Linked DNA regions of Callithrix jacchus. The protein of the gene in region 5 interacts with the protein of the main gene of each other region in a pairwise test. Links are inferred from orthologs where the notes say so. Each region holds a gene or a part of one and is shown on either strand. Other genes may lie near its edges. The genes, in order: CHORDC1, CDC37L1, EGFR, DDX24 and HSP90AB1.

Evidence for each region.
Region 1: the proteins of HSP90AB1 (region 5) and CHORDC1 interact in binary tests that used the Homo sapiens proteins (3 or more experiments, as listed by UniProt). The link is inferred for Callithrix jacchus from reciprocal best matches to the Homo sapiens genes HSP90AB1 and CHORDC1.
Region 2: the proteins of HSP90AB1 (region 5) and CDC37L1 interact in binary tests that used the Homo sapiens proteins (3 or more experiments, as listed by UniProt). The link is inferred for Callithrix jacchus from reciprocal best matches to the Homo sapiens genes HSP90AB1 and CDC37L1.
Region 3: the proteins of HSP90AB1 (region 5) and EGFR interact in binary tests that used the Homo sapiens proteins (3 or more experiments, as listed by UniProt). The link is inferred for Callithrix jacchus from reciprocal best matches to the Homo sapiens genes HSP90AB1 and EGFR.
Region 4: the proteins of HSP90AB1 (region 5) and DDX24 interact in a two-hybrid assay, tested with the Homo sapiens proteins (2 studies listed by BioGRID and IntAct, with this or other methods). The link is inferred for Callithrix jacchus from reciprocal best matches to the Homo sapiens genes HSP90AB1 and DDX24.

The regions. Positions count from the first base shown.
Region 1 is NC_133511.1:50,352,829-50,356,823, reverse strand, and holds the start of CHORDC1 (cysteine and histidine-rich domain-containing protein 1), read right to left. Parts: upstream 2,802-3,995; 5' UTR 2,695-2,801; coding exon 2,631-2,694; intron 1-2,630. UniProt on the Homo sapiens protein: Regulates centrosome duplication, probably by inhibiting the kinase activity of ROCK2. Proposed to act as co-chaperone for HSP90. May play a role in the regulation of NOD1 via a HSP90 chaperone complex. In vitro, has intrinsic chaperone activity.
Region 2 is NC_133502.1:111,210,411-111,213,542, reverse strand, and holds part of CDC37L1 (hsp90 co-chaperone Cdc37-like 1), read right to left. Parts: intron 826-3,132; coding exon 724-825; 3' UTR 643-723; coding exon of another isoform or gene 541-642; 3' UTR 1-540. UniProt on the Homo sapiens protein: Co-chaperone that binds to numerous proteins and promotes their interaction with Hsp70 and Hsp90.
Region 3 is NC_133512.1:22,475,004-22,479,268, forward strand, and holds the start of EGFR (epidermal growth factor receptor), read left to right. Parts: upstream 1-1,465; 5' UTR 1,466-1,723; coding exon 1,724-1,811; intron 1,812-4,265. UniProt on the Homo sapiens protein: Receptor tyrosine kinase binding ligands of the EGF family and activating several signaling cascades to convert extracellular cues into appropriate cellular responses.
Region 4 is NC_133509.1:128,872,486-128,875,637, forward strand, and holds the end of DDX24 (ATP-dependent RNA helicase DDX24), read right to left. Parts: intron 2,673-3,152; coding exon 2,543-2,672; intron 1,046-2,542; coding exon 777-1,045; 3' UTR 502-776; downstream 1-501. UniProt on the Homo sapiens protein: ATP-dependent RNA helicase that plays a role in various aspects of RNA metabolism including pre-mRNA splicing and is thereby involved in different biological processes such as cell cycle regulation or innate immunity.
Region 5 is NC_133505.1:52,714,907-52,717,446, reverse strand, and holds part of HSP90AB1 (heat shock protein HSP 90-beta), read right to left. Parts: intron 2,356-2,540; coding exon 2,149-2,355; intron 2,047-2,148; coding exon 1,887-2,046; intron 1,684-1,886; coding exon 1,550-1,683; intron 1,416-1,549; coding exon 1,107-1,415; intron 726-1,106; coding exon 560-725; intron 347-559; coding exon 156-346; intron 30-155; coding exon 1-29. UniProt on the Homo sapiens protein: Molecular chaperone that promotes the maturation, structural maintenance and proper regulation of specific target proteins involved for instance in cell cycle control and signal transduction. Undergoes a functional cycle linked to its ATPase activity.

The DNA.
Region 1 (3,995 bases), on a different chromosome or scaffold from region 5:
TGTATTACTAGCCAGTATTGCTTCCTTAGTAACCATGTGCTGCCTAGATACTAGCCAATGTAGAAACAAAGTGTTAGGTAACTTCCTGATACAGTAAGTAAACCCATGGATCAGAAAGATGTTATTAATACAGGGTAGTTGTGGAATTAAGGGCTGAAAAAGGAGATCGGAAGTAGAAATGGGTATGCAGAAGGCCATGAAGTTGAGAGGGGAATGGAAATAGAGGATACAGTATTTTTAAATACCAAATTTAAGGTAGTCAGAGACATAAAATGTACAATGTTTAACACAATCAGAGGCATAAAATGTCACAATACTAGTCAATTTTGGCAGAATGGGAGCAGGAATGAGTCAGATCCAAACCATACAATTAGTATGAACACAATTAGAAAACCAGTGCTTTCAAAAACAAGAAGTAATAAGCAGCTGGACATTCTTTATCCTTTATCAGTTTTAAGAGTTTTGGTAAAATTAATATTTTATGGGTAAGAAGCTGCAACACAGTAGTAGTTATTAACTATCCAGGGCTTCTAACATTGGGTCTGACCCTGGCTAAATTTCTCACTGCTGCTTGCCACTAGTTCCTTCAGTTTTCCTCGTATACGTGGATTAAATAAAACACTGTTTGTGAAGCTCTGTTTATTCTAGAATAAGTGTTTACATATGCAAGTTGCCAACTATGTCTCCCTCAAACACCCTTTAACTTGTGTTACAAATTAAAACGTTCTATCAGCTTAAAAGGGAGTCTAATTTCTGTCTATAAGGGGAAAAAATCATGAGACTCTAAGTCAACAAGCATGGTAATTATGCCGCAGCACCAAGAAAAAAAGCATTTAGTGTAGATTTCAAAAGATATTTAAGGATGGCAGATCCATCATATGGCTTCATGCAAAATGGAACTTGCTTGTGTATTTACTTCTTTAACTTATTTCTGTCAACTGTACAACGTCAAACCTCTTCCTATAAAACCGACCAACCTTACTATTTAGTTCTTGTCTCCTACTCCGTATCTCCATTTTCTTCTCCTTCCATCCACTTAACCAACTTACTTGAAAAACGCATTCTAAGCCTCTTAAAAAAAAAAAACAAAAAAACCTCATTTCGCTTAAGTAAATATACTTTCAGCGATCTTACTGAAGTTTCAGCGATCTTACTCGAATTTCTCTGCTGTATCGGGTACTGCTGACCACCCAATTATTGAGACTGTTTATTCTTTGTTTTTACTGGTCATTTTCTCCTATGCACTGCACCAAATCACACATGGATACAGACTTCCAACAAATGGCTATCTCCCCTGAACTTTATTGTCCCATACAGCAAAACATCAGCCTTTCCCCTATATTCGATATTAAAGTAGAGTATCTGCAGACATAAATGCAATTATTTTTTATGTAGGCTACCAAAATCAAAGTGCTTTCAAATCATTTCTCAAGTTTGTCATCCACTGAAATCTCACAATTTTCCTCTTGAGTAGCATCATATCTGCATCATAAAAATGTCAGTGTCCGTAACATGAGTATTGCATAGATTGGATTTACCTTTTCTTTAAAACCCTGTTTTAATAATGCAATCAATAAACCTGTGTGCCAAACCTAAGTATTTCAAACATCTCAGAGGTGAAGAGTTTAAAAGGCATGAGTTTTCATCTCCCCCACAGTGATGAAGGATGTTATTAATACTACCTCACTGAACGGAGCTTCTCAATCAATGGATCTAATTAATACCGCACGCTTCCCACGGTTGTTATGAAGATTAAGATGATAAAGCGATAATGTCTAGCATGCAGAAGACATAAACTAAATGCTAGTTCGATCTGAAAACGTGCTGTCACTTCTCACAATACGCAAGGAATCGTCTCACTTCTTCATCAATCAAAATCTCAATTCACTGATCATTTCCCGTCCTTCACCTAGTAGTCACTTTCGCTTTGGATCCTTAACTCGACATCTTGATGCTGTAGCGGACATTCGATCATTTTATACTGGAGTCAGCAATGGTATTAAAACGTGGAGACCACAACAACAATACCCAACAAAGGATGCCAGTAAGAAAAAGATAACTAACGTACCACCAGGATGCACCTACCAAAACAGTGTAAAGATACAGATTAATGTCCCTCACCTAGAACACTCGCAAGAGGTTTGTAACAGCGGATCGACTGAACACAAACTTCTATGAGGCAGGGCTTACTCGCTAGGACAAGTCCCGACCCTCGCTCCCTCTGGCGCAGGCAATCACAGCTAACACTACTTGCGGAACTGCAAAGCAAGCTCACCAGTACCTCGTTAACTTTTGCTTCCCCAGAGACTAGGGGGCCCGAGGAGAAAGGTGTTTGTTCTAAATTCCAGGCGACTTAAACCCAGCGCGGGGACGACCGGGGAAACACATGGATCCAGGGGAGCGTCCCTCTCCGCAGAGGCAGAGGGCAGTCGGGCGCCGGGGCCGGGCCATAGCCAAGGGAATGCGGCACACCAGGCGGGGTGCCGGCGGGCTGTGCGCCCAGGAGGGACCTAGACCTGGCGCCGCGCGAGAACGGCTGCAGGACGTCCGCGGACACCCTGCGGCCCAATGGGCCTCCCCCGCCGATGAGGTGGAGAGGGGAGGGAGGGCTGGCGGCGCGTTCCTCTTACCATCGGAATTGGTTTCAGGATCAAAGCGCTGACCGCAGCCCCGGTTGTAGCACAGCAAGGACATTTTCTCTTCCCACTGTCACAAGCAAGGCCCAAACGCCGGGAATGGCAAGAGGATGCCGTGGCCACTCCCGTGTAGCTAGCCCTAGTCTGACGACCAAGGCGACTGCCGGCTTCCGGAAACGATCAGCGGCGTTTCAGGAACCTTCGCGAATTTTCCGGTCGCGCAGGCGCAGCGGAGAAGGAAAGCGGCGGAGGAAGCAGCAGGAGGTCGGCACTAGCCCGGGCTACAATAGGTCGGACTGCTGCAGCTGGTAGCAACTGCGGGTCGGAGGTGGAGCCCAGACAATAGCGGAAGAGAAATGTACTGGGCAGAAACTGAAGGTGTCCAAGAGACTGACAGCTGTCTCCTGACTTCCCCAGTCCTCACTGGCAATGGGCATGTCCTCTCATCCCCTGCGGCCCGGCATCCTTCTTCCTTGCCTTGAGGCTGCGCCTTAGACTGCCCGGTGGGTATCTTCTGACCCCTTAGTTGTGCACAATAAGTGTGCAATCGTACAGTGTTTCCAAATCCTCAGGATAGAGGTGGGAGCTTAGTAAATGAGGAGAGGAATAGTGGACGAACCTCTCCGCGTGTCTGTGTCTCCGGTGCCCTCCTCTCGGGAGCAATTTTAATAACTGAACAGTTTCGTTCACGTTACTTTGAAAATACAAAACACGTAAAAATCTGAAGAACAAAATTATGGATCTGATACTGTGCCAGAAATGATCACAATTGCTCTAAGGCCCTGGGGTAATTGTTAATATTTCATATGAGCTCCCACTTAAACGATTTCTCAATACTCAGTACTCCACTATTGGAACAGCTAGTAAAACTTCAAGTGCATTATAAAAATTACAGTAATGCATTGGCTCCAACTTGCATATTTCCCAAATGTGGGACGTTTGAAAGAAAAGCAAACACTTTTTGATAACATACACTGAAGGATCTTAAAATAAGATAAGCAGCTTGTAAGAAACCTAAAAATCTATACACAGTTTCCATTGGTCTCAAGGTTATTTAGGGATCTGGCTCACATCCTCCTACCCCTGAAAAAAAGACTTTTTAGTTTTCATATTACGTTCTCTTCTACCTAGAAGTATTAAATTATTATATTGTAATCCCAACATAGATACATGTTTTCTTCTTCATTTAACTTAACATGAATATTTTTCTGTTTTGTTTTGTAATCATTATTACAAATGATGGAGTATTCTCTTGAATGAATCCACTGTAATGTAACCTTTCTCGAATTTTCCCAACTTTATTATATGTAAGTTACAGTAATCAACTTGTATATTATTTTCCTTATTTCAAATTTCCCC
Region 2 (3,132 bases), on a different chromosome or scaffold from region 5:
AGAGTTAAGACTTTTAATAATTGTACCCTCCCAACTTTAGTAAAGCCGATTACCAACTACTGATTTATTGCTTTTAATGTGATGAAACACCAGATTTGACAGCTAAATTAGTAGTGGGATACAGGTACATTTTTATCTTTAATCATTTTTGTATAATAGGACATGTACATATCCATATAAAAAGAGACTGTAGCAGATGCCTCCCAGAATCAACCAGTTCTTGTAAACATTGCATTTGTGCAGATTTTCATACTTTGATTCCAAAATTGAGAACAATAAGATTAAAGGCAAATTTAGTAGCCATAAAAAGTCCAGTTTGACTTCCTGCAACATACTGTACCACTCCTCTCTTCAGAACAAAACAAAACAAAAAACCTAGCAGCACATTAAAAAAAATTTACAAAACGTTTCAGTACTCTTTCCCTCCCATCAAAAAAGGAACAAAAATAAAGTGCAGCACCCATAAAAGTGTCAAGAAAATAGCCAAGTTCTTCCTTTCTTGTAACAAAATAGCACTTGGCCTCAGCAGTTTTAACCAAATTATACAGTGTCCATCATTTTGGGTTCATCATCTTCTTTATGTACCACTGAGTTTAAGCTGCAGAGAGCTGTACTGATAGAATACTGAAGGTAATCTGGATTCTGGGGAAAAAGAAAAGGCGGATCAGGGGAGAAAATGCATTATAACCAGTTTTATGATAGTACATACATACATATTCAACTTCACGGTCCTATGTCTCTGCAGTGTAGTAGAGTAGTAGGGAAGATGAAGTCAGACTTGGGCTGAAACCCAAGAAAATAAAGACAAAAACAGGATGCTATCACCTAAGAGATGTGATAAAAGAATGATACATGTGAAAAACAGAATTGTTAACAAATACCACCTTTCTTCTCCATTTAACAAAACCATATATTATTTAATCACACAAGGCAAGGCTACAACTTCCATGTGATTATATATACATAGCTACTGATAATTTAAATACGGTTTGAAGCCAGCAATGCATTTTTAAGATTACCATCTAACTACAACAGTAAACACTAAATTATGCAAATAATCTGAATAAAAAAAATCCATTTACTGGGTAAAAATTATGGGTATCTTCAGGGTCTATTTTGTTTTCCCAAAAGTTAAAACAACTCAGTGAGAAATCTGTACTCTTTTGAGAGGTATTTAGACCCTTATTTTTTAAACTGAGAATAAAATATCAGGTTGTATTATACTATGAATAAAGGTATAGCCCTTAAGACCCAGAACTTTGGAAAATTCTTTCCCAAGAATTCAATTTTGTCTACTCAACTGTTTGAGTATCTGCTAGTTACTTAAGACTTATACCACTTTTATTACTAATTTTATTTATATTTATTTTATTTAATAAACACCAATGAGGAAAATAGTCCAAACAGGAGAGATGCCTTAAACCTCACCATCTAATAGGAGGTTGGGAGGCAGAGTTTTCTAAAGATCCTCCTAAGAAAGTACAACACTTCATGAGATTCCTTCATTGTAAAAGTCAGAAAGCTAGTTGGAGTTTGGATGACTCCCAATCAGGTCTTTATAAAGGAAGTAGCAGAGACAACTGACTGAGGTCTGGGACACTCACACTGGGCCCCAGTTTTAATCCTGCCTCTATTTAGTATAGCAATACTCAAGGAGAAAAAAATTCACAATTTGGTAAAATTAAAATCTAGCCTATAGGATACACCTAAAGTAATTGTTGTTATATCTACATCCAAGACTTGGATTAGACCTCTTAAAAGTAAGAATAATGAATGGTATTTGGCTAATTTCACAAGATTACTGTTAATTATATATAAAAAAAGAAAAACTAAATAGTTATCCACACTTAAGCTTTATCCAAAATGATCAATATTCTTATCTTGTCCCATTCTCCAAAAAAACAGCCTTAAGACCTTTTTCTGACAATCCAAGCCTAATTCTCTGTAAGTTCATTGGAACAGAACTTATAATTAATTACTCTGTTAAGACTGGGCTCCAGTTTTCCATGACACAGTTTTGAATAAGAGAATTGGCTGAGGAGATTCTCCAAAACTCATCCACCCATCTTCCTAAGGACTATAAGATACTATCATAAAGAGACTTTCAAAAATAAGGAATTGATATACCCAACCTAACCTATACTTAAATTTCATTAACTGTCCCATATTTTCATCTAGTAACATTCTCAACACATATGATTCAACAGTCTGTGGTATAGGTAAACAAATAGTGAAGCAGAATAGAAATCCAAAAGTAGAACATTAATCACTTATTGCGCTGACTTCAGGCAAATTACTTAAGTTCCATGACTTTCAGTTTACTTATCTATAAAAATGAAATGAAAATGAATCATAGGAAAACTGAGAAGATTAAATAATATGTGTGAAAGTGCTTTGTAACCTATAAACGGATATAAAAATGGGATGCTATTATTACGGTAAGATTTTTCTTCCAAACCTCTAAACTGATGATTTGGTCCCTCAAGTAGCCTCTTTTGATTTCCTTCAACTAGCCAATGATCCTTTCTGCACATGTAGTATCTGACTGAAATTTTGTCCAGCTCTTGTATCTTTCAGAAGGACTATACCAGGATGCTCAAATTACTCACCAAGAGAAATTGGTCTCCCACCATGAGGAGATTAGCCCAGCTTAATTAAATCTGAATAACCCTGATAATATCAGCAATCCAAAAGTGTCAGAATTGTATAATCCTAGTCCGCCTATGACTCTAAGGGATGCTTAGTATCTGATATCAGTTGCTATCTAATATGTGTAACAAGGACTTACTTCTCTCAAACCAGAGGCAATTTCTAAATAATATAGGCCTAAGATACTATAATGTGTACCTTTTCTTCTTATGTTTAAAATCAATTACACCCTTCCAAAGTCTCTTTTTTCTTTCCCATGCATTATGTGACATTTTAATTGCAGGAGGTTTATATATTGGATTTCACAGTGACTTGGTCACAGAATTCCCCTGGAAAAACTACTTCCCAGTGGGCTACTTCTCAGGAACTGAAGGGAAAAATAATCACTGACATAAAATTAAGAGATAATCTGTAGGAAATCTGTAGGGGGAATATTTCTTACATGTCTAACTAAGGGGGAACATTACTAATTATTTAAAAATC
Region 3 (4,265 bases), on a different chromosome or scaffold from region 5:
GTTTGCCATTCCCTGGTTTTGTTTTTTCTTTGTTTCTTTATGGACTGCTCTCAGCCCAGGTGTGCATATGTGGAGGAAGCACACACGTGCCTGCAGAGCCGTCACAGCCTCTGCATCCAGGGGCTGACTTCAACCTGCAGTGGCTGTCCTGATTGGTTAAAACAAAGGAACAAATTACTTCTCCTGATTCACAGGGGAAGTTCCAGGTTGCAGCAGCGGTGAGGAGCTGGCAGTGAGGAGTCGGCGGTGAGGAGTTTGCGCTTGCCCTGCTGAAAACCCCACCGTTTAGGCTGCAGGGTGTGAAACTCTGGCACAGACAATTTGCTGGATGGGAAGGAAAGAAGCAAGGTTGCTCCCCTCCAGGGACAGCAAAGGGCAGCAAAGGGCTCCACTTACTTCAGGAGTGTGGTTCTTGACAGAGCCGGGAGATCAAGGTTGTTGAATCAGGCCGGAAAGTCCTAGTGAACCTTGTGGAGAGGAGGGGTCTGTAACATGGACCTAGAGGGCATTTTTCCTGTAGGAGAAGGAACAGTGGGGATAGGGTGCACTTGCAGAAGGAATGTAGCTCAAGTTCCTGCAGCCCAAAGCAGCTCAGTTTCTTCCGGCCAAAGCCTCTGCGAATTTCCCTGGCATTTCTCCTGTGGGAGCTACCAGGGCAGTGGGACACTTAGCCTCTCTAAAAGTATCTCCACGGCTGTTTGTGTCAAGCGTTTATTCCAAGAGCTTCCCTTTTGCGAAGTACTGTGCCTCACACATTGGCTCAAATTACCCAGGGTCGGTTACAATAAACATTGAGGAGGCCTGTATCTGAGCTCGGAGTTGGGTACCCTCATTTCATTCAATTTCGAGGGTGCTTGACGGGATCTGAAGGACCCTCGGACTTTGGATCAGCACCTCGGACGCCTGGCACTCCTGCTGCACAGGCACGGCAACCGCCTCAGCTGCCAGGCCAGCCTCTGAGCCCTGGGAGGGTCCCAGGGTGCTGCAGGGGAGGTGGGGACCAGAATAAAAGAGCAGTTTCCCCGTCGGTGCCATTATCCGACGCTGGCTCTAGGGCTTGGCCAATCTGTCCAAAGCTGGTACAAGTTTGCTTTGTAAAACAAAAGAAGGGAAAGGGGGAAGGGGACCCTGGCACAGATTTGGCTCCATCTCAGCATAAGCTGGGCCTGCAAGTCCATGGAGACTGAGTCCAGAGGAGCAGTGCTGGGAACGCCCCTCTCGGAAATTAACTCCTCAGGGCACCCGCTCCCCTCCCACGCGCCGCCCCTTTCCTGCCGGAGCCCGGGTCCCGCGGGGGTCACCGCTGTCCACCGCCTCCGGCGGCCGCTGGCTTTGGGTCCCTGCTGCTGGTTCTCGTCCCTCCTCCTCGCATTCTCCTCCTCCTCCGCTCCTCCCGATCCCTCCTCCGCCGCCTGGTCCCTCCTCCTCCCGCCCAGCCTTCCCCACGTCCCGGCCCGCGCGAGCTAGACGTCCGGGCAGCCCCCGCGCCGCGCGGCCGCAGCAGCCTCCGCCCCCCGCACGGTGTGAGAGCCCTCCGCGACCAAGGCGGCTGGAGTCCCGAGCGAGTCCCGGGGGCCGCCGCCGCCCAGCCGGGACGACAACCCACCTCGGCGGCGTCCGCCCGAGTCCCCGCCTCGCCGCCGCCACAGCCACCGCGCACGGCCGCCTGACTCCGTCCAGGACTGATCCAGGAGCGTCGGAGCGAGCTCTTCGGGGAGCAGCGATGCGACCCTCAGGGACGGCAGGGGCCGCGCTCCTGGCTCTGCTGGCTGCGCTCTGCCCAGCGAGTCTGGCTCTGGAGGAAAAGAAAGGTAAGGGCGTGTCTCGCCGGCTCCCGAGCCGCCCCCGGAGCGCGCCCCGGACCCCGCAGCTAGCCCAGCCGCGCACCGGCGCACCGGCTCGGTGCCCGCGCCCCCGCCCGTCCGTTCCTGTTTCCTTGAGATCAGCTGCGCTGCCGGCCGGGACCGCGGGAGGAACGGGACGTTTCGTCCCTGGCCGGGAGAGTCCGCGGCGGGCGGAGGAGGAGACGGGGAGGGCACCGGGCTGCGGGCGGGGCGGAGAACGGCAGCTGGCACCTCCTGCGGTCCCGACCGCTCCCAACTTTTCTCCCTTACTTTCCCGCCTCTCTGCGCGGGATCGGCGTCCGCGGCCCGGTGGGCGCCGGGAGCCGGGGTCCCGCATGGCGCCCCGCGTTGTCCTCCCAGGGCACGGCGGGGTCGGAACGCGCACCCGAGGGGCCAGCGCTGCCCACCCGCAGGGCCGCGCGGTTTAGGGAAGCTGAGGAAGGACCCCGAGAATGCAGCCTCCCCTCGGACCCCGCGGGACAGGCGGCTTCCTGAGCTGACCTCCCGCCTCCGCCCTCCGCGCGAGTCTCACGCTGAAGCCGGCGTGGGTCAGCCTGGCCCCGGCGCCTCTCCGGGTCCCCGCGAGCCTCGTTCCCGGGTGTGGAGTAGCAGCCTTCACCTGGGAGCTGGGAGAACTCGTCTGCCACCACCTGCGGCTCCCGGGAAGGGGTGGTGCTGGCGGCGGTTAGTTTCCTCCTTGGCAAAAGGCAGGTGGGGTCCGACCCGCCCCTTGGGCGCAGACCCCGGCCGGCGGCTCGCCCCGCCCGGCGCGCTCTAGTTCGGCCGGTCCAGGTGTGTCCCGCTGAGGACCCGACCTCCCTCCGGGGCGCCCCCCCCCGAAAGCCCCGGGCTCTGGTTCGGTGGCCATGTCGCGGGTTTTCCACGCCTGCAACCCTTCGGTCGAGCCTGGGCTTCGCGGTGGAACGGGACGCGGCTGTCCGGCCACTCCAGAGGGGGACCGCGGGACTCTTGCGCGGAAGCTCAAGGAGCAGAGCCGGTCCTGGCCACACCACGGTGTTTCAAAACGGGGCTCACAGCAAACTTTCCTTCTCAAAACCCGGGGAGTTTCTTTCTTGGATGTTTCTCTTTGCCGTTTGAAGAATTTGACATTGGGCCAACCAAAATATTAAACCTGTCATACACACACACACACACACACACACCAGATTGATGTCCCTGGTTCACGTGTGCCAAGTCTCCAGACAGAACATGAGCGAGTCTGGCTTCGTGACTACCCTCATAAACCCATCTGACATGGGAAACATGCCTCAGGTTTAATTGCACAATTCCAGCCTTGAGCTGCGCGGGTTCCAGGAGCCAGGCCCGTACTTGCTGTTGATGTCACTGGCATGAGGCGTTGGGGTTTGGTGCCCAGCGCCGTTGTTGGGGGAGGGACAAGGCATAGAACAGTGGTTCCCAGACCTTGCTGCAGTTTAGAATTACCTGGGATTTTTTAAAACCAAAACAGAAACCAGTGTCTGGCTCCCACCCCCAGACATTCTGATTTAATTGACATGGGGCAAGACCTGGATATGGTATTTTTAAAAATGCTTTTCATGTGATCTGTTGGGCAGCCAGGTTTGGGGATCACTGCACGGAAGAAGGATTGTTAAAGTCTCCGGAGAGATTACTTGCCAATGCAAAGAGCTCTTTGAGGACATCTGGAGTTTTAACAATCTTGCCAAATATAGGAAAGAGGGGAAAGGTAGGGTGTGATTCCAATAATAAAGGATTTCTCTTCTCACTGAAGGAACTCTTGGAAAGATTCCTCCTCTGCTGAGCCTACGCGACCCTGTGAGTCAGGTGCCAGCCCTGTCTCTGCGGAAGAGCAGAGACTCTTCTCTTTATTTTAAATTAAACATGCAGAGCACCTCCAAAGCATCACTTTCCTCCCTCCAGCGGTGTTCTTGTTCTTTGATGTTACTAGCTTGAACACCTGTATTAGTGGCTGGAGATTTGTTCCTAAGAAAAATATAAATACCACTTAATTTGCCTGTTGGTCCCATATTCACCCAAAACAGAATGCTCCTGAAGACGACAGAGAGTAGGTGAACAGACGCTATTCCATTACGGTGACATAAAAGACTGAATGTTCAGGGGCAATTATTAAAATAGGAGATGAGCTCTTTCAGCAGAAGTTTGTTGAAGGCCTGTGTCTATCAAGTTCAGTCGGTTTTGTTCAAGGTGCACTTTGGTTCCGGGACATGCTAACTTCTGGGCTTGCTGCTCTTAGAGCAAAAGACTGCCACACACTGTTTCATGCATCCTTTCAGTCCTCACATTAAGCATAAGAGGCATGCGCTCCCCTCCTATGGGGGAAACTGAGGTACAAAGGATTAAAGTGACTTTCTCGAGGCTGCTAGGCAGCAGCGTGAAATTCACATGCAGGCCTTCCGACTCCAGATGCCTCTCTCAACTTCC
Region 4 (3,152 bases), on a different chromosome or scaffold from region 5:
AAGAGAAGGGAAACACGGATCAGTGGGCAGGAGACTGCTCTGTCACAGAGGAGAGGAGTGGAGACAAGGCTGGGGCCAGATCCTGAGGGCCTCACACGCCAGAACCAGTGACTATTACTGTTAGTTCTGTGATGTGAGGGAAGCCTGAAGACAGCAACCTCATTCCTGCCCACCTCCCAGGGAGGCTCAGATAATAGCCAGGACAGAGTGGGAAAAAGATAAGCAGCCATTAGGTGTTGCTCGGGTTAAAGCAGGAACATACACCAAGGACCTGGCAGGATGTACTACAGAGGCCTCAACTCCAGCCTCTTGCTCCATTCACACTGTCCAACCTTGGCCTGCAGCCAGAGGCCTGACACTATTCCTGTTCCTTCAAGGTCTTAGCACTGTGCTGGCCCAGAAGAATCACTAAGTTAATAATGAAATAAACTATACCACCACCCCCATCTTCTAGCTAAAAAAAAAAAAAAAAAAAAAAAAAAATTAGGATGACACACTGGCTCTGACCATTGTTTTTAATTTACGAAATCAAGTTGAACACACAAGAAGCCTATAAACACGGCAATACAGAAAAGTTAAGCTGCTGCATAGAATTCTTACTCCAAAACAAGGTAAATCTGCAAAAGGTCTCTCCCGCTATGGGTGTGAGTGGAAGAGAGGGAGACTTTTTTTACCTGGGGTTGATGGTGGAGTGAAACACAAGAGTAGGAGAGGTTTTGCAAATAGCCAGAGAACAGAGACCAATGTGCAGTCACCGACACACTTGACCAGCACAATTAATTTGCACTTGTACTTGGTTGTGGCTGTTCTGGCTGCGGCTCCTTTGGCTTCTTTTTCTTCTTCTGCTGCTTGGAGAGGCAGCTCAAAGCAGACTCGCTATTCCTTGGGGCAGACACAAGCAGGGGCGGCTTGCCAGACTGAGTGGGATACTTGGTTTTCTGGCTCTCTGTAAACAGCGGCTGGGAGAGCAGGTGGCGCAGCTCCTTCTTCAGAACCTTCATTTGCTTTTGTCTCCGACGCTCTTCTTGCTGGTCAGCTTTTCCACCTAGAAACGCAATACAAAAATGATCCTATTTACTATGGTTTGTAAAAACATTTTGTTTCCCTTGATGGATAACAGAATAAAAACTGTTTTAGAACTACTTTAGGGAGGTGGAGTTGCAAAGTTCTCTAAAGAAGCCAGTGGAGGCTTGGCAGGGGCTGTAAATGGATAACATCTAACCATTTGGGGGGGATACGCAGGACCGTTCTATACTTTTCTCCTTTGTAAAAACACTCGAAGACTGGAATTATCTTTACAGATGAAGCAAATTGGCTTAGAGAAGTCACCTGGCTTACACCTCAGAGCCAGCCATCAGACAGAGCCCAGAACCCAAGTCTTCTGACAGAAGATCACCTTTCTTCCTATTACCTACCCACTTACTGCCCACCTGGGGTTTGGAGACTTCACAACTACAACCCCCTTAGGAGACAATGAATGCTTCTTTGTAGCCCAGCTCTCCTCTACCTTGCCACCAGTGCTGTGACTGCACATACAGAGGTGGGCAAAGCCAAAGGGCTCCATCTCAGCCTGTCCTCAGGAAGGGAAGCCAGGGCCTCCACATCTTCAGCCCAAGCCCCAAAGCTGAACTACCAGGACTAGCTCACTGTCTATAAGCCCACTGGTTTGGCTCCTGACTTCCATGCTGAGCAGACAGCAGTAAGTTTGGCTCTGAATCTGCTGACTTGAGCACTGAGGTATCAATATCTCAGGTGAGCTGTACATTTGGTGGTGTGGAAGAAGCACGGAATTCTAGACCTGGTTCTACAACTTCTTAGACTCAGGAGCTTTCTCAAGGTGGGACCGAGCAGATTCATCCCTGAAGCCTCAGCCTCTGGCCACACACAGAGTAGCAGCTCAGGAAATGTCTGGTGACAGAGCTACTTCCCTGCACAAATTGCCTCTGCTGTAAGTATCTAGTTCCCATGTGTAAAAGAATAGTACTTCCTGTTATGTTCATGTCATGAAAGTGGAGATGATCAAATGAGATAATGGCATGAAAGTGCTTTGTCAGCTTGGAAGGCAGGTGTAGTAGGAACCATAATGACAAATAGCTTAAAATGTATAAAATACTTTCTATTTGCCAGGCAATGCTGCAAGCACCCAATATTTTTTAACTCGATCAATCTTCCCAACAATCCCATGAAATAGATGGCTGATTACTTCCATTTTATCGAAAAAAGAAAGCTGAGACACAACAGAGGTTAAATAACTTCAGTCACACAGTAAAAGGAATCAGCAGGCATTCTAACACAGGCACATTGGCCAGAGAGCCTGCTCCCGTCCTCACTGTATCCACTGCCTGTCCACGTAAGAGGCGGCAGCTAAGGATGCAAGACAGAGACAGAGGAAACCCATCTGGAACGGGGGCCTGTTAGCAAAGAAGGGGAAGGACGTCTTGCTGATTTTGGCAAGACCCACAGTAGTAGCGAAGGTTCCAACGAAGCACAAGTTAAAGAGAAATTTCACCTTCCTCAATTCCCATCCGGCCCAAGGGCTTACCCTTATACATGTCTTCTTCCAGCTCAATCTCCAAGGCAGCCGCTGCCTGCTCAATCCAAGAATTGTGCAGACAAGCCTGGAAGTTCCGATACTCAGATTTCTCAATCAGTCGAGCTAAACGGATTCGCTCCTGGGTTAAAGTAACAGAAAATATTCATCTGAAAGAGAGTTCAGGCCTCTGGGAAGCAAAGTCTCACTTGAGTTGTGTGTCTTTGTTTGTGTGTTTGCTTGAGGGAGGATCTCACTCTGCTGCCCAGGCTGGAGAACAGTGGCATGGATCATGGCTCATTGCAGCCTCAACCTCCTTAACTCATGTGATCCTCCCACCTCAGCCTCCCAAGCAGCTGGGACCACAGGCTAGCACCACCATGCCCAGCTAATTTTTTTTTTTTGGTAAAGACAGGGTCTCACTGTGTTGTCTAGGCTGGTCTTGAACTCCTGGGCTCAAGGGCTTTTTCCCCCTCAGCCTTCCAAAGTGCTAGGATTACAGGCATGAGCCACCATGCCCAGCAAGCAGTGTTTTTAAAAAGCTCTTGAGATCAGTGATCAGTGAGAAGCAGTTCAGTTCCTACTGAACTTCATTTGCTTTGTTTCCTGATAAAGCCCAGTG
Region 5 (2,540 bases):
CGGTTAGTGGAATCCTCGTGAATTCCAAGCTTGAAGAGTGGGAAGAGAAAAAAACAATCCAACTTAACTAAAATAACCTTGCCTTCTATAAGAATGGTAGAATTTATCGTAATTACTAAGAAAGTGGTAAAGGGAATAACCATGTGCCTCCTTACCTTGAGATTTTTAGAGAATGCCTCATAGAATTTCTTATAATTCTCCTTGTCTTCTGCCAGCTCAGAGAAGAGCTCAAGGCATTTCTTAACAATGTTTTTGCGAATGACTTTCAAGATTTTGCTCTGTTGGAGCATTTCTCGGGAGATGTTCAGAGGCAAATCCTCAGAGTCAACCACACCACGGATAAAGTCTGCCATCAACCAGGATGAGAAAACTCAGTAAAAACAGCTAGACCAGACCTGGTACCCAGATTCAAAGAGAAGGCGCTATTGCCCCCTGAACCCTCACACACTATGTATTGCAGAGAACTATTACACCTAGGAATAAGACTTTTTAGTTGCAGAATGTTGAAAACCTTGCCCCAAGACTTCACCCAACTAAATTATGCCAAGGACATACTCACTGAGATACTCTGGTATCAACTCATCACAGCTGTCCATGATGAATACACGACGGACATAGAGTTTGATGTTGTTCTTCTTCTTCTTGTTCTCAAAAAGGTCAAAGGGAGCCCGACGAGGAATGAATAGCAATGCCCTGAATTCCAACTGACCTTCTACAGAAAAGTGCTGAAAGAATCCAAACATAAACAAGTAGTAGTACATTTCCAAAGAGTGCCTTTTAGCCCCAACAAATTACCTAAAAGTGGAACAATGATCCTCCCTAAGCCTAAAGGACAAAGCACACACAACAGGCAGCTCTCTAGAAAACCGAGCCTTAATGCTCTCAATGATCAGGGGCAGACATTACCAAGATTACCATCAGAAGACAAAGTGAGGTCATTAGGAAGGATAGCTCCTCACTGTGACAGGGTAATCAATGAAATCACATGGTTCTCAACATTTCTGTGATCAGGAGGACAAGTTCCATGTGTCTATTACCTGCCAAAACGCCACCTACTCACTCCTCTCCATATTTGTATGTTGAGCCAATGTGCAAGGGCTTCTCACCTTGACTGCCAAGTGGTCTTCCCAGTCATTGGTGAGGCTTTTGTAGAATTCTCCATACTCCTCTTGAGTGATGTCATCAGGGTTTCTAGTCCAAATAGGCTTAGTCTTGTTTAGTTCTTCCTGATCAATGTATTTCTCTTTGATCTTCTTAGTTTTCTTCTTCTTATCCTTACCACTATCATCCTCCTCGTCTGAACCCACATCTTCAATCTTGGGCTTTTCTTCATCATCTTTATCTTCCTCTTCTTTCTCACCTTTCTCTTCCTCTGCCTCATCATCACTAATTTCCTTCTCTCGTTCCTTCTCCAACTAAACAACAAAAACAAAAGTTAGCCTTGAGTACTAACCACTAACAGGGAAAGCAAAAGCCAGGGCCCATGATGACTCCAGAACAGGAAACACCCTGCACGTTAAGTGAAAAAGGTTTAAAAGTCCACACTCACATAGAGGGTGATGGGATAGCCTATGAACTGAGAGTGCTTCTTCACTACTTCTTTGACCCGCCTTTCTTCTAAGTACTCTGTCTGATCTTCTTTAAGGTGGAGGATCACTTTGGTACCCCTGCCAATGGGCTCACCTACAAGAGTCAGTCACAAGCATGTAACAGGGTGAAAATATAAAAGCAGTTAAGACTTCACCAAGCCAAAAAAAAAAAAAAAAAAGTATATTAGCGAGGCTGCTATAATTTCAACTGCTTTACAAACAGGATGCTAAAAATTTCTGCCACTTCACAAGCCCAGAAAACTCCAACCCAGCTTAACTTGTAACGGGAGAGCTTACCATGGTCAGCACGCACAGTGAAGGAACCTCCAGCAGAAGACTCCCAGGCATACTGTTCATCATCATTGTGCTTTGTGATCACAACCACTTTCTCTGCCACCAGGTAGGCAGAATAAAAGCCAACACCAAATTGCCCAATCATGGAGATGTCTGCACCAGCCTGCCAACAAGTTATTTAAAGTCAAACACAAGTTTTCGAAAAGCAACAAACCAAAGCACACTGACAAATATGAATGGTGTGTGCCTGCAAAACTGCACATACCTGAAGAGCCTCCATGAATGCTTTAGTACCAGACTTGGCAATGGTTCCCAAATTATTTATGAGATCTGCTTTGGTCATGCCAATGCCCGTGTCTACCAAAGTCAAGGTACGTTCCTGAGGGTTGGGGATGATGTCAATTTTCAGCTCTTTACCACTGTCCAACTTTGAAGGGTCTGTCAGGCTCTCATAGCGAATCTTGTCCAAGGCCTGAAAATACAAATAGGAATTTGCTTTTGTTTTCCCTTTAAGACAGGCTCTGGCTCTGTCGCTCAAGCTACGGTGCAATGTTAAGGATCACAGCTCACTGCAGCCTGGACCTCCCAGGCTCAAGCCACACTCCCACGTAGCTGGACTACAGGCACATGCTACCATGGCCACTTAATATTTTTTTT